Canis lupus familiaris: one gene and its partner. The protein of the gene in region 2 binds, or shares a complex with, the protein of the main gene of each other region. Links are inferred from orthologs where the notes say so. Each region holds a gene or a part of one and is shown on either strand. Other genes may lie near its edges.

Region 1 (7,919 bases), on a different chromosome or scaffold from region 2:
ACAGCATTTCCAGTGACGGCATAGCTGAGAATAGTGGTTTGAGAAGCAGTGACCACTATCAGGAATTGTCTTCTGGTCTAACCCCACTCCTGCCTTGGGTCCAGCAAGATCCCGGCCATGCCCTCCAATCTCACACCTCAGAGAAGGCTTCCATTAGGGTAGCCACTCCGGGCCAACCTGTAACCCTGAATGTCCTGTCTCAGCAAGGCCAACCGCTGGTAGCCGAGGTTGGCCTTTGGTCGGCCCCTCACAGCTCCACCCCAGGGACACTGGAAGCTGCAGGCGCTCGGCTTCGGCTGGGTCAGACAAAAGTCAGGACAGTCCCAAGCAGGAGCTGCTGAGGGGAGCCCAAGGCAAAGGGGCCGAGAAAGGTGGAGAAAAACGTGTGGTTGGAGGTGAGGAGGCCTATCTCCCAAGGCAAGCCCACCAGCCACAGCCCTTTTGTACTTCCCTTCCAGGGATGTGGGGACAGGGCAGGTGTGTGGCTTTAGAGTTAAGCTATATGAAGTAGCTTACATGCAGAGTGCTGCCCGGCAGAGAAGAGGGGTTTTTCTATCAAGTGAAGACATACTCGGACTTTCCTGAAGTCCCAAGGCCGGGGCCATAGCAATCATCCGTTCCCTCCATGTGCCCATGTGGAAGGTGAAGCTCAGAGAGGGGCCAGTGACAACCAAGATGATTCAGCAGATCCGGATCCCACCTTGAGCTCACTGGCCAGAGCAGGCCATCTCCTTCCAGAAAGGAGCCTTTGTGATGGCAAGGGGCAGAGCACCCCCCCCCCCCCCGCCCCCAAGGGCCTAGATGTGACAGCAGGACCATGAAGAATACACAACTCTGGCTCAGTCTTGTGACCTGCTGGGGGACCTTGGGCCTCATTTCCTCCATCTGCACAATGAGGGAGTAAAACCGGCTCTAAGTCTGGGAGGCAGTGTGATGCAGAATGCCTGGATCACCCAGCCTGGACAGTGACAAACAGTGACACAGGCAGGGACAGCTCCTTCCATCTCTCTTTATCAGGGTTGGGGGTCACAGTTCTCACACTGAAGCCCAATTCCCAGTATTTGCAGAGGATCAGTGTCTTAGTGAGGGGACAGAGGAGCCAGCTGTAAGATCTCACTTGCACATGGTGGTTGAACACTGAGACGGTACCCCTTCTTTTCAGAGTTAGTCTGCGACCCCTGGTGCCACCTACACATGTTCCCAGCCAGCTGCCCACCCTGTCAGTTGGCAGCCTTGGAGAGACCGGGACAGCTAGAAAGTCCTCCGAGAGGCCCAGGTCCTGGAGCAGCTTCTGCCCATGCCGAGGTCTTGGGACTAGGCTATTCTCAACATGTTGCCCCCAGTACCCCCTCTGTGGGGGTGGCTTGTGAGGCTAGTGGCCCTGCTGAGTCTGAAAAGCAACGTGTCACCTTCGCAGCTTCCGGCACCTGAGGAAGGGAAGGAAGAGATCTGTTCATGCAGGCATAGTTCAGCCCCTACTCCTGGCAATTCACCCCTTTGTTACCTTCTATGAACCCCCATTCTCTCCTAACGCACCTGGCGAGCGCCAGCTGGCCTGGCCCACATAACGCCACTTCGGGGCCTCACTGTGGAAGGGAGGAGTGGTGAGAAGCACCTCAGAGAAGGTGGACAAGGATTCCACTGTGTCCCCTGGCCTCTCACAGAGCCCACAAGGTGGGACAAATGTCTCCTACAGGGGCTTTTAGGAAGGCCCAGAGCTTCCAAAATTGGAGAGCCATGGCTCTCATCTTTACCACAGGCAGATGTTCCCATCAGAGCATCTGTGACCTCTTGGAGACCATTTCGGGTGCCCCTGACCTCAGCCCTTGACCTCCTCTGCTGGCATCGCATATCTCGTGTCTGACTCACATGAGAATGTTAACTTTGTTTACACTGATCCCAGTGCCAGTGGAAGCTTGGCAAATATTTGTTCAACACATTCAGCAGCTTCCCCTTCCCTGGCAGGCTCATCTCTGGACCCGCTCCAGAGGCCCTGATGCCTTCCCCAGCAAATGCTGCCCTCAGCTCCTCACCTGCAGGTGTCTGGGTTGAGCTCTAGGCCCCGCCCTTGGCAACGGAGGAAGCTGCGGCGTTGGCAGCGGCAGCGGCAGGTCCTGGGGTCAGGGCGCTGGCGGCGCTGGGTGCAGCGTGGGCAGAGGGGCCTGGGGCTGGAGTGGGATGGGTGATGTCAGCTGGGGAGGGTGCTCCGGGGGCAGAGTCCCAGCCCGGAATGGAGCGGGGCTGGGGGCGGTGGTGGGGAGTGGAAGCCCTAGGAGGAGAAGCAACATGTCTGGGGTGGGAAAGAAAAGCCTTCCCAGGAGCTGGGGTTGGGTCAGAGCACACAGACTCGGGGAGCAGAGGAAAAGAGAGGTAGACTCGGTGGGAGGAGAAAGGGGTTGGGACTGCACCCCCCTGCCCCGTCCACAGGTTACATCCTGGCTGCTGGGCCTGGGTTCCAACCCCATCTCAGTAAGAGCCCAAGAGACTCACCTGTCTGGCTTCAGAGCACTCTCTCTCTTTTTTGGTCTGAAAAGTAAGAGGGAGGGACAGAAACGAGGAAGAGGATCAGAAAAGCCGAGCATCCTACTCTCTTAGCCCAGATCCCAGGCCTACCCCAAGTTCGAGTCTTGGAGATCTGGTCCCCACCGTGGTGTACCACTATGCCCGGCACCCCCCGAGCCTGGTCTCTGTGAGCTCAGAAGTGGGGCCTGGCTGGCACCTGCATTCACACTGGCTGTGTTCTTCCAGGGACATCTCGCCCAGCTGACTGCTTGGGTAACGAATCATGAGGATCTGTATTCCAGAGACGGAGAAGAGACAGTGTAAGAGACAATGAGAGAGAGAGAAAAGGAATGCTCCACAGGCTGGAGGGAGAACAGCTTGCCCACCAGCCAAGGTTCTGGCCATTGCCCCCACTCCCCCACCCCCACCACCCCAGAGCACTGGCATCCACCCCAGCTGGGCACACTCCCTCTGTCCTAGTACCTGCATTCGGACTTGGTGCTGCCCAGTGGGCACACACTCCAGGCCATCGTCAGGGCAGCAGCCACCGCAGCGTTGCACTGTCACGCAGCTGGGCACCAGTTGCTTGGCCACCGTGCCCATGAGCTCCACAGTCAGAGGCACTACCACCTCCCGTGGCTGGCAGGTGGCACGGGCATATACATCTATCCATGACACCACTGGGGGTAGATGCATAAGGGTTAAGTCCTCGCTGGGTTTACTGCAGCTGCTCCCCAGTTGCCCTGTCCCCTGTACCCCACAGCTGTTCTCCCTAATTCCTGTGTCACAGCCACCCTTCACTGGCCCTTTCTGCCCTCACAAGCTGCCTTCCCCTGGCCAGGAACCCAGGAACCCCACTGCCTCAACTTCCTCTTCTGTGAAATGGGCAGAATAAGAGTTTGCATCTTGGAGAGTGAATAGTCACTCATTAGACAGGCTAACCTCCTCAGGGCTGGTTAGGGTGGTTATTGTTACTATTACCTTTCTTCTGGTGGCTGAGGGCATCAGGCTGGGACACAGGGCCCTGTAGGAGAGAAGGGACCTGGACCCAAGGTGCACTCAAGGAAGGGCTAGCCCTGTCGCTGTCCCCAGGGCTCTGCCCTGGCCATCAAAGGGCTTCAACTCCTCTATGGCATTTTTCCAGATTGCTCTGCTCCTGGGGTCACTCTAGCTTTACCTGGCCTCTCCTGGCCACCTGAGACCTGCCCTGGCCACGGTGGTGGTGGTGGCGGCGCAGCAACGTCCAGTCTCCAAGCCTGGGGGCCCCCGGGGCACAGTGGGCGCCGAGCCAAGTCCTGCGGGCACCGGGCGGCTCCACCCCCCCACCCCACCCCCGTCCGAGCCCAGGGGACGGGGTGGGGCAGGGGAGTGGCCCAGGGCTGGGCTGGCGGGCCGGCGGGGAGGGACTCCTCCCGGGGGATGCCCCGGCCGGATCCTCGCCACGCCCCGGCCCGCAGCCCGACCCCGCGGGTCCCCGCGGCAGAGGCCGCGCCGCATCTCCCCACTTCCGCCAACCTTGAGAGAGGGCAAGGCGGGCGGCCCGGCGGGATGTCGGGGACGCACGTACCTGGGCGGGGGCCAGCTGCAGGAGCGCGGCGAGCAGCAGGCTGCGGAGCAGGGGGCCCATGGTGCCCGCGGGGGCCGCGCGCCGGGGGCGCCCGCATCGCCCTAGCCCGGGGGCGCGGGGGGCGGCGGCAGCCAGAGCCCCATGGCGCGGGCCCGGGCGCGGCGGGCGGGGGCCGGGGGCGGGGGGCGGCTCCTCCGCGGCCCCCTCCCGAGCCCTGAGCGCAGGCAGCGCAGCGCAGCGCAGCGGCGGCGGCCGGAGGAGCCGGGCGGGAAGGCGGCCGGTGGCGGCAGGCGACGGCGGCGGGGACGGCGGGGACGGCGGGGGCGGCGGGGGGCCGGGCCCGGGCTGGCGGGCGGGCGGCTCATGTGACCCAGACACGCGCTCCCCACCGGGCCGCGGGGCAGGGGCGGGGCGGGGGAGGGGGGGCGAGGCCGCCGCCGGGGCCCGCCCCCTCCACACACCCCCCTCCCGCCGCAGCAGGGGAAAGGGGACGCACCGCCCAGGGGGCCGGGCTCCCGGGTCGCTGCCGCCGGGACGGCGAGGGCGGGGTGCCGTTCCCCGGTGAGGCCCGGGACGGGGGCCGCAGGGCGTGAAGCAAGGAGCCGGACACGAGCTCTGAGAATCACTTTATTGCACGCGTTTTGGGGAGTGGGAAGTCCCATGGGGTAGCAAGGCCCCATCCCAGCGAGCTGCTCACGGGCGGGTGCCTGTGCCCGGAGACACGATCCCTGGGCCTCCAGGTGGTGGCTGCAGCCGCTGCCTCTGCAGTTGCTCCTGGAGCTTGGCTCTGTTGGCCCTGCAGGAGAGAGCACCCGGGTGGTCAGGGCAGAGGATCCCAGAGGGTGGTGCCAGGACAGTGAAGGGAGAGCAGGGACAGACCTGGCCCGGGCCCGTGTGTCATTGTAGATGGCTGTGATTATCCGATCCTTTTCATCCATGAAGCTCCGGTGCATCTGCTCCAGCTTCCTGCAAGGGGGTTACAATTAACCCCAATCCCTGCTGTCCCCCAAATCCAACCCCCACCATCCTGGCAACTCTAGGGTCTCACAGCTTTACATCTGTGAGGACCTCTGCCTAACTGCCTGTGCTAGGTGGGCAGAGGGGCATGGAAGGGCAGGGGCTTATCCAGGGTCCATGGGTGACCCAGGTCTCTGTCTTGTTGAAGGTGGTGATAGCAGCTCTGAACATCAGAATGTTCCTCGCAGGAGACTAGAAAGGGTATACATCTAATGCATCACGGAGCTAGGCAGGCTGCTAGCAGTGGGCACCAGCCTTTAGATATCTTTGTGGTAGAACCCTGGTATTCATGGCATGCATAAAAGGATGGCGGGGAGACAGCCGATTGCCAAACAACTGAGGGTAGTTGCCGGTGAGGCCCAGTTACAACATATTTCCTTGTGCAGGATCTTGGTGGCTCCAGCACATCCTATCAGCAGCACCAAAGATTTACATTCAAATGACAAAAAAAAAAAAAAAAAAAAAAACCCTGAAAATGACATTAGCCCTTAGTTAGTGTAGAGATGTCTTTGCCAAGTAAGGAGAGGTTCAGGAGCTACTTCATGCAATTCTTAGCTTGAGAGACACAAAAGCGCAAGCTGCAGGGGTGGTGTGGATGTATGGCTGACCACACTGGGCTCCACCCACCCTCCACCCTCTGCCCATCACCCCAGGCGGAAGGCAGGGATGTACCTGAAGGCAACATAGTGCAGGCCCATGCCTGCCAACATGATCAGGAGGCAGTATCCCAGCACCCGCTGGTTGTGTCTGTGCTGCTGCTGCCTTGACTCTGGTCCCTGAGGCCTCACACCATGAAACTGGGCCCAGTATTGTGCATTGGGGGGTGCCCAGGAGCTGCTGAGAGGGAGAAGAAAGGAAGTATGGGAATGAGGTGCCCCAGGAGACTTGGGGAATGGGGCAAGCCAGGGGCAGGACTACTGCACCTGTGCGCTTGATGAGCAGCCCTGGGATGGACTGTGGTTCCTGGAGACTTTGGAGGAGTTGTGGAGCTGAGCTGGTGATCATAGCTGCGGCGGCTGTGCTCATGGCTGAGCACTTGGTATGCTTCACTCAGCTCCACAAAGCGGCTGTGCAGGGCTGGGTTCCCAGGGTCCCGATCAGGGTGCAGCTGGGGTGGGGCAGGACTCTCTTCAGCTCTTTTTCCATGCCCCATCACAGAACCCATCCCAATAATGTCCACCCACAAAGGTTCAAATCATCTCTGGAGGCCCTGCCTGGAGAGGAACTCTCACTCTTAGGGCTGCCCACCCCTCTAGAAGGCCAGAGTCAGGGAGCACAGACTCCTCCCCTTCCCCTTGTTCAAGGCCTTCCCACCTGCTGCCTGGCTCTCACTATATGCCCTGGCTTTCTCAAGAGCAGGCAGATCAGAACCAAGCCCAGCCCATCACATAGAACCCCTGGCTCCCGTCCCCAGCCTTTCCTCCCAGCTGGCCAGACCACTGCTCTTGGGGCACCTGCCATTCTCTATACATGCTAAGGGAATGTGGCACCATCCAGAGTGAGCCCCTCGGCTCCACTCCTGGCAATCTGAAGTGTACCCTATCTGCTCAGCCTTATCCTCCCTCCTCCCCGCCTAGGACCACTGGTACCTCTTTGGACTTGGAGAAGAAAGCTCGTTTAACTTCTTCAGTGCTGGCACCAGGATGCACCCCTAACAGTTCATAGTAGTTCCTGGGGCCAGACCTGTGGAAATAGGCCAGAAACTGCAAGGGCTGTGGAAACACAGAGGCTCTTCCTCCCCTCCCCCTCCCAGCACCTCTGGGCCACAGTCCTCAACTCAGAAACTGGGAGGAAGATAAAAAAAGAGAGAGAGAGAGAAAAAGAAACCAGGAGGTGAGGAAGCTGAGGCTGGTGCCAAGGGAGATCCATCTCCAAATCATCCCTCCCCTTTTGAGTATTTCAAGTATGGGCAGATCAGAACATTTCCATGTGTAGCCCTCAGACCCCTTTAAACAGAAACACCCAGGAAGCTTGTTTAAAAACATTCCTGGGACGCCTGGGTGGCTTAGCAGTTGAGTGTCTGCCTTTGGCTCAGATGTGATCCTGGGATCTGGGAACAAGTCCCACATCGGGCTCCTGCATGGAGCCTGCATCTCCTTCTGCCTAGGTCTCTGCCTCTCTGTGTGTCTCTCATGAATAGATAAATAAAATCTTAACACACACACACACAGATTCCCAAAACCCACTTCATTCCTGCAGATCAGAATCTCCAGAACAAGGCCTAGGAATTTGCATTTTTGTAAGCCACCTCCGCCCCTACACCTCCAGTGAGTTCTGCAGTGATGCTGATGTTCGACGACCACGACCACGACAGTCGTGAAAAGAGCACTGAGTTTGGCTTGGGCTCAAATTCCACTTTTGCCTCTTAACTGGCTGTATGACCTTGAGGGTCGTCTCTTCATCTTTGATCTTGTGTCCTCTATAGTCAAAGTGAGGGTTACCTGAAATAAGCCTGTAAGGCACCTGACACAGAGTAGAGAGATCACAACTATCTTAGTACCTAGGTCCAGGCCTGGAGCTGGGCAGGCCTTCCTCAACGAAAACCCACTGACTGCCGGGGAGGGGGGGGGGTTTCCCCGGGGGTTCCCCGGCCTCCGACTCACCGCTGCCTGGTGGCCGCCGAGAAGAGCCGGGTGGAAGGGCTGCGGGGCCAGAACCGGCACAGGCACAGGGACAGCATGGCGACTGGCAGGCGGCTGATGAAAGGAGGCCACAAAGTGCATTGGGACCAGGATGGGACCACACTTCGAGCACTCCGGGGGGAAAGGGAAGGGCCTGGCTCCTTTTACTAGCGTCGGCAAACGGAACCAGCTTTAGAGGACCCAGGGGCGGT
Region 2 (7,380 bases):
CTCCATGAAGAAATAGGTTCAGAGGAGGCAAGCAGTAAAAAGCCCCATGCAAGTAGTAAATGGCAAAGCTTGAACTCAGGCTTGGCCAACTCCAGTCCATGCCCTTAACCACTTTTTCCATACCACACACCATCTTGTGAAAGATAATCCGAATAGTAGAAACAAATCCCTAGTGGACTTGGGGCTTCACATGGCATAATCCCTCTGAGTAATGAGAGAAGGTTATACTTATCAATTTCTCTGGTTTCTCTGGGGAAGAAGGGAACACGGACATTTCTTTGTCTCCCCTCCATTCAAAACAAAGACACTGTTTGATCCTAAAAAGGGTAGAAAAGACCTTTTATCCTGGACTGGGCATCCAAGCCTTGGTGTGTAATCTGGCTCTTCCATTAACTATGTAAGATCGGGCAAATGACCTTTTTTGGGTCTCACTTTCCTCACTGGAAAAGCTCCATCTTATTATGTTTGGACTCCTAGGAAAGGAGGTGTTGGTTCTGGGTGTTCATGTGGAACCGGAAAGATTTTTATCATCTTTGGCAATTTACCTAATAACTGTTGACACTACAAACTTGGCACTCCCGGTGGCTTCGTGACTATGTACTGGTGGAGCATACACCTCGCTCAGTAATGCTAGCTGGCACTACTGAGGAAGGGGCTCAGAGGGACTAGGGCTCAGTGGTGTCCCTTTCTGCACCTGCACAGAGCAGAGGTGCTAGGATTCATTCTTGCTTGGCTTTTTCTAGAAATGTCACGAAGTAGGAGAGATCCCTCCACTAGAGGGCGCGTTGGGAGTAAGCAGAAGACAGAGGAGGGACAGCCAGCAAACTCAGCGTGGGGGGCGGGGGGAGGGGGTTCCAGGCTCCTGCCTCCTGACAAGAAACCTGCAGAAGCCCTGCTGAGGGAGGATGGGGGAGGGGGGGGCAGGCCTCAGTATAGATCCCTGCTGCCACCGCAGGTGACTTACCCGAAAATAAATAAACTATAATTCTTTGTTGCTGTGTCTCCCAGAGGCAGTTAAGGTTGGTTCTGCTGGGGCGGGGGGTGGGGGTTACTGGAATTGGATTTTTCACTAGGCCCCTTCTCAGGACACAACGAAGCAGGGAAATGGCACTGGCAGGGGTGTAGGGAGAAGAGTGCTCAATAGGTCCGCTCATGGGTCAGCCCATGACAATGCTCTCCACTCTCTGGGCAGCCTTTCTTTTTATTTATTTATTTATTTTTGTAAATTTTTAAATACTTTATTTAAATTCAATTTGCTAATATATAGTATAACACCTAGTGCTCATCTCGTCATGTGATGAGCAGCCTTCGTATTCATCTTCCCAGTGGTCACAGCCCGGATACGGCTGTCTGCAGGGACCAGAACTCAGGCTCCCTCACCCACTCCTTGACTCCCAATCTATTCTATATTCAGCTTTGCTTATTGGTAAGCACCACTGTTTATATTAAAGGTTGGATGTACGGAACTTTCGGGACTCTAGCAGTACGCGGTGAATTTATTACAAATAGTATTTAAAGAGCCTGGTGCATTTATTTGGAAAATGAAATATCCCATTTCTATTTAGACTCTTGGTTTTTCCTTCACTTTCTCTTTATATTCCTTTAGGTTCCAAATATGAAATACAGCCATGTGTTTTCCATGAAAACACGGAGCTCCACCAACAGGGAGGCGAATCATTAAATATAGCCAGGGGAGGAAGCAGAGCCTTCTAAACAAAGGACGCACGAACCCAAACGTTCCATCCTGCCCAGGTCCCTGGGGTAGGCTGCTGCCTTAGTTCTTCTTGAAGCAGTCCAGGATTTCAGGACTGAAGGGACTTTGCACCGCTCTCCACCCAAGCCACCACTTTCCCCCTTTTCTTGTGGTGTCTCCCTCTCTGCCGTCCCCACCCCACCTTCCTTATCCAGTCTCGTGTACAGGAAGGCTTTGCAAGGGTTGTCAAGAGACCTGGGCTCTTTTCCCCCAGACTTCACCTCTAAAAGTGTAAGTGTAAGTCAATCACTTGACTTTGCTGGGCACATCTATAATGTAAGAGAGTGAACTAGCTGATCACAAAGGTCCTTTCCAGATCAATTTTAAAAAATCTCTATCTCCCAACATGGGGCTTGAACTCAGGACCCCAAGATTGAGTCATATGCTCTACCAACTGAGCCAAGTGAGGTGCCCCTTCAGCTTCAAGATTTTAACTACTGGAGGGCATGGTTTATAATTGGAGACAATATGTTCTTGCCTATATGTTTCTAAGTCTGATAGACCACCTGTGTCTTTGGTTGGGTCAAAGTTGGAGGGATGAGAGAATTGGCCAGCTGTCCAGTGGTTCTTATTTGTTTGTCCCGTGAATACTGCTGTCCATGTGACAGTTGGGCAGAATTCTTGGATGTGCAGCACTTTGTCCATCATATAGGTCGTATAGATTGGTGGCATTAAGTTGGACTCTCCCAATCTTTCTATCTCAGTAACAATAACGACAGTTAACATTTATAGAGTACTTAATTCAATGAAGAACGTGATTCTCTCAACAATGCCATGAGTTCGGTTCTGTTATTCCCTCCATTTAATAAAAGAGGGGCCTGAGACTGAGAGGTAGAGTAGCTTGCCCAAGGTCCCAGATTTTGAGTGAGAGAAACAGGATTTAAACCCAGGATGCCTGGTTCTGGAGTCTGTGTGTTTCATCACCACACTGTAGACTCATCACCAGCACTGCTGACTAGCAGTTAATAATGTCAAGTCATTCCTCCCTAAGCTGCTCCAGCCCAGGAAAGGATACAATACTGGTGGGATGAGTCACACTGGCAAAGTTTTATCAAACCTTCTCCTCCATTCAATAATCTCTTTTAGATTTTGTTTGCCTTCAGGACTTAAACCTACATGTTCCTTTTGTTATGTAGCTTTATTTTAGTGGGTAAGGCTGGTTCCATGTTTGTGTGCAGGGCTGACTGTGGGGGCAAGGGTCTGGGGAAAGCAGAATAAAGGGCATAGCAAGAGGAGAAAATAATTTCTCTGGCCCAACACTGCCTTTGTGTTCACTGCTAAGTCACTCAGTTGATTGAGGCATTAATTTCTCTAATAAATGGGGACAATTATATTTGCTATCATCTTTAAAGAAACAAGTAACCCCATGATTTGTGTCGGTGTCTGCGTATGTATGGAGAGAAAGAAAGAAAGAAAATGATCAAGATGCTTGAACAGGTAGTTAGGTAGATGGCTCCTAAATTTTAACCTCTAAGTTTTGCTGCATATGCTGGGATTACATATTCTCTGTGCTGCCCACAAAATGTGTGCTGTATTGGCATGGAAGGAAAAAGCAGAGATTGGGTTTTAGGCTTGGTCATTAATGAAAAAATACAGGTTTCTCTTACTTTATGCTGATGTAGCCTAAACCTCCAACCCTTAAGTTCCTTACCTTGTTGAGAAAGAATAAGTCTCGTTTGCTCTTGAGGTAGTTGGACAGATTTCCGTATTTGCAATATTCAACGATCACCATCAGAGGCCCTGCACCCCAAACAGATGACTTGTCATTTGTCAATTTTCAAGGGTAATGGGAAAGCAGGCAGCCTATGGTTGGGTCTCCAGGATGCTAGTTGGGGCCTCCCAGCTCTTACCCGCTTTCTGTATCCCCTGCTACTCTGAACAGGTAGTCTTTCCGATTACCCTCTACTACTTTTGTTGACTGTGGAAAACATTGGTGCACATAGGTCTTTTGCACCTTCCTTTCTGGCTTAGGCAGGGATCGCACATCTATACGCAAGTGCTAACCTCCCCACGAGGGAAGATAGAAAAGTATTCAGGAACATGCTGGAGCCCTCAGTCATGACCATAGCCATGTCCTGGCTGCTTGACCCAGCGGGGAAAAGCTGTGTGAAGGGAAGGGCCCTTCTGGTTGTCCTTCACATCACCTCTTCCTGGGGTTCTACCAGTAGTAACTTCTTCTTTTATGTGAAGCTTCAAGGAATGCTCAACCTTCTAACCATTACCTTAGCTCTGGCCACCCTCCTTCAAAGCCATCCGGAGAGAAAAAATGCTCTCCACATGACCCGGAGCCCATGGAAGGAGGTCTCAAAGGGATTCCTTCTATTTAGAGCCTTTCAATTAACTGTACAGGGAAGGCATTTCTAGGATGGGAGCACCTTTCCATAAATGGACAAACTGTTTCCTCTGGAACTACCGAGAGGCTGTTTTTCAGGAGGTGAGGAGGAATGGGGAGAAGGAGCTGTATGTCAGACTCTGCTCTTAGCATGTGAATGGGGAGAGGGAGCAGGCCCTCCTTCTCATTTACCTCCTTGCTTGGTACAGGCTCCTAGCAGGTTGACTACATTCAGATGGTGGCCAATGTGGGTCAAGATCTTGAGCTCAGTCATCAGAGCTTTGTATTCGCTGGCTGTGGCCCCCTCTGTGTGAGAAACAAGGAAGAGTCAGGGCGACAGGACAATGGGGCTCTTTCCGCTGGAGGAGGCATTCCTGCCCTCCATGTTTGCCAACGCTGAGCCGGTTGCTTCACCAACTTCCCCACAGTCTTCAGAAAGGCCAGGTCTCCAGACTGTTTTCATTACTCCCTCCCTCCTGAGCCAACATCCTTTTGATTACAGTAAGGCCCAGAAGCAGTGGTGGGGTTAGTCACTGGGCATTTCCTCTTGGTGGACCTGGTCTGCTCAGCAATGCGCTGACTCAGAGCTGGGCACCTCATGGAGGCGCCTTCCAAAGCTTCCGTTCTACAGAACCAGGCTCAGCAAGAACCTTCCAGACAGGGGATGTGCCCACACCTCCCCTCTTTTTCTCACTTTCCCCTCTTTGAAGACTTACAAAGAAGGAGCACCAGGGGTCTGCAAGAGTGGAATGGCCACTTCTGTAAACATCTTTGCAATGTGTTATTTTCTCCCTATAACCTTTTCCTCCCTGGAGTCTGCAGGGTTATCTCGAGTTGTAAGGATCCATAAGCATCTGACTTCAACTTCATTCACAGAGATAAACAACATCAGTGTAAGATTTAGCAGAGGCTAAAGCCTAAATTAAGTTTGTTCTGTTTGTTTTCTTTCTTTGGTGGTGGTAGTGGTGGGGTGTCCTTCTTATTGGTTAATTTATAAGGCATTTACAAAATTAATAAAGTCATATAATCTTATTGTAAAATATTCCAACAACATGATGTATACAGAGTAAAAACTGAAGGCCGCTCCAATCACTTGCCTCCTTTTCTGTGTATTTATAAACAAATATACCCACTTAAAGGTCTTTTTGTTTTGTTTACATAAATGGGATCATATATATATTATATATATCTAATAAATATATATATTTAATTTGGTTTTTTAATATGTCAGAAACTTTCTCCATTCCTGTTAGTTAATAGCATTCTTGACATTTGAACTGTCACCAGTTTGTGTGTGTATGTGTGTTTTGCCATTACAAGTAATGCTGTAGTAGATAGCCAATGTGTAATCTTCATACTCATATGCAAGTATGACTGTAGAAGAGTCTGGGAAATGGCCAGAGCATGTGCATGGTATTTCATAAGGACAAATCAGTTTTGAATTATTTTTTAAGTAATACCCAGATAAGCTCTAGAAGCTTTCCAACGGGGTTGGGATTGGCTCACAGTAGATGCTCAACAAATATTTGTTAGTAAAATAAACACCCTGAATACTCTTCTCATTTCAGACATGGGCATGAGGCCCAAAAAGGTTAAAGGTTCTGCTCAAGGGCACTTTGAAAGAGCTTCTGACTCATGGCCTATGTCTGACATTCTATCTTTTCAATTTCTCCTAGAAACAGATGGCCAACCAATTCAAGCAAGAAAGCTGAATGAAAATTGTTTTTAGGAATTTTATATAGTGGGTTATTTGGCAATCTCTTAAAAAATTAAGACTTAAAAGATGACCACACATGTTTATTTCAGTATTGCATAGAATACATTCTTTGGGCCTTTAAAAATTTTCAAGTCAGAATCTTCCCCCTCAAACTCATCAATCCCTGCATGCTTTTATGCCCCTTTGGCACAGAGGCAAAAATCAGGCTCTCTTGCTCAGATTGTTCCATTTACAGGCAGGTGTTATCTTGGATCCACAATAGATAAGCATAGGCAGGAGAGCCACCTCTCTGGGAGAAGGTGTGTGGTAGTAAGCAGGATAATGGGACCAGCTAAGGAAGCAGATGCTTCCAGGTGGAGTTTTGACTTAGCTCAAGGTTGGATATTCGATTGCCTCCATAACCTGGGCCAGGATCATGTTAGTATTTGAGGGCAATGGGCCATTTCCTAGAGGCCAGGTTTCGGCAGCCCCTCTTGTATAGCACCATGGTGGTAGGGGTGGGGAGAACAGTGCTACATTCAAACCCTTGCTGTTGCACTGGTGAGCTATGGGATGTTGCAGAAGTGATTTAACCTCTCTGAGTCATGTTTCCTCAGCCAGAAACTGGGAAAATAATGTCTACCTCACAAGGCTGAAGAGAGAAAAATAAGAAAAATGGCAACTTCATGTGATTCAACTGAACACAGTAAAGCACTTAGTCTGGTGCTTTCTCATACAGAGGACATGTGGATGCCTCTTCTCTTCAGAATCTGGGGCACAGGGTGTGGGGGGCAGGGTGCTGGAATGCAGGGATTCTCACAGAAAGGCCTGCCATCATCTGAGCAGTCCATTTCGTACAGAAGTCCTGATTCGTGGGTGTAAGACTCCTTGCCTGGCTATTTTTAAGTAGAACTGTCAGGTTCCCTGGAGAGTTTTATCAGAGATTTTGCCTGACAAGGGCAGCCGCTTGGGATAGAAAATACCATTTCATGGGGCTCTTGCAATGCTGCATCCATGCTGGAAGAAATAAAGAGCTTTGAAGTCTCCCTATGTGTATGGTACTTCCTCCTGGAGCTTTTCCTAGGGATCTGCTTGGCTGGGTACATAGCTTCCTGTGCCTCAAAATCCCCTGCAAATGTCCTGGAGATTTTGGAAAGCTAAAAAACTGCCCTTTGGGTGTCCAATCCTTTTTGGTTTTGGAATCTTAAAAATGAATTGAAATGACATGAATATTCCATCATGAATGAAGAAACAAAGTATTTTCCATACTTTAAAAGATATATGCATCTTTGAGATGTCTGATTTATGCAGTTTTCCCCTATTTTCATTTTCATCTCTCTTGGGATGGTCATAAATCACTGTGCCATGTGGTTTCACCTCCCAAGTGCTTCAGAGAGCAGTAGTGTCTTTCAATGCTAAGAGAGATATAGATATAGATATAAATATAGATATAGATATAATTTCTCAAGAGGAAATGTTCTACGGGTGGGACTTGACAGTATAAAATATTTTAGAGTTCTGCTGATCTCAAGTATTCCAGCTTCATAGTTTTACTTTGTAGTTAGTCATGTCCCAGCTAAGCCTTTGGGTTTACAATGC

The links.
Region 1: the proteins of FLT1 (region 2) and VEGFB are in contact, whole or in part, in a crystal structure (PDB 2XAC), measured with the Homo sapiens proteins. The link is inferred for Canis lupus familiaris from reciprocal best matches to the Homo sapiens genes FLT1 and VEGFB. Residues at the interface, in NP_002010.2 of Homo sapiens: Tyr139, Glu141, Pro143, Phe172, Pro173, Tyr199, Ile202, Gly203, Leu204, Asn219, Leu221, Arg224, Thr226; in NP_003368.1 of Homo sapiens: Ser37, Trp38, Ile39, Tyr42, Thr43, Thr46, Cys47, Gln48, Pro83, Asp84, Asp85, Gly86, Leu87, Cys124, Arg125, Pro126.

Annotation. Positions count from the first base shown.
Region 1 is NC_049239.1:53,327,833-53,335,751, forward strand, and holds VEGFB (vascular endothelial growth factor B), read right to left. Parts: upstream 4,187-7,919; 5' UTR 4,130-4,186; coding exon 4,070-4,129; intron 3,527-4,069; coding exon 3,484-3,526; intron 3,183-3,483; coding exon 2,986-3,182; intron 2,794-2,985; coding exon 2,720-2,793; intron 2,527-2,719; coding exon 2,491-2,526; intron 2,270-2,490; coding exon 2,056-2,269; coding exon of another isoform or gene 2,034-2,055; intron 1,428-2,033; coding exon of another isoform or gene 1,406-1,427; 3' UTR 990-1,405; downstream 1-989. Other genes in the region: DNAJC4 (dnaJ homolog subfamily C member 4), read right to left, coding at 4,763-4,865, 4,949-5,035, 5,759-5,920, 6,010-6,194, 6,676-6,769, 7,690-7,782. UniProt on the Homo sapiens protein: Growth factor for endothelial cells. VEGF-B167 binds heparin and neuropilin-1 whereas the binding to neuropilin-1 of VEGF-B186 is regulated by proteolysis.
Region 2 is NC_049246.1:11,438,238-11,445,617, reverse strand, and holds part of FLT1 (vascular endothelial growth factor receptor 1), read right to left. Parts: intron 4,392-7,380; coding exon 4,278-4,391; intron 3,494-4,277; coding exon 3,405-3,493; intron 1-3,404. UniProt on the Homo sapiens protein: Tyrosine-protein kinase that acts as a cell-surface receptor for VEGFA, VEGFB and PGF, and plays an essential role in the development of embryonic vasculature, the regulation of angiogenesis, cell survival, cell migration, macrophage function, chemotaxis, and cancer cell invasion.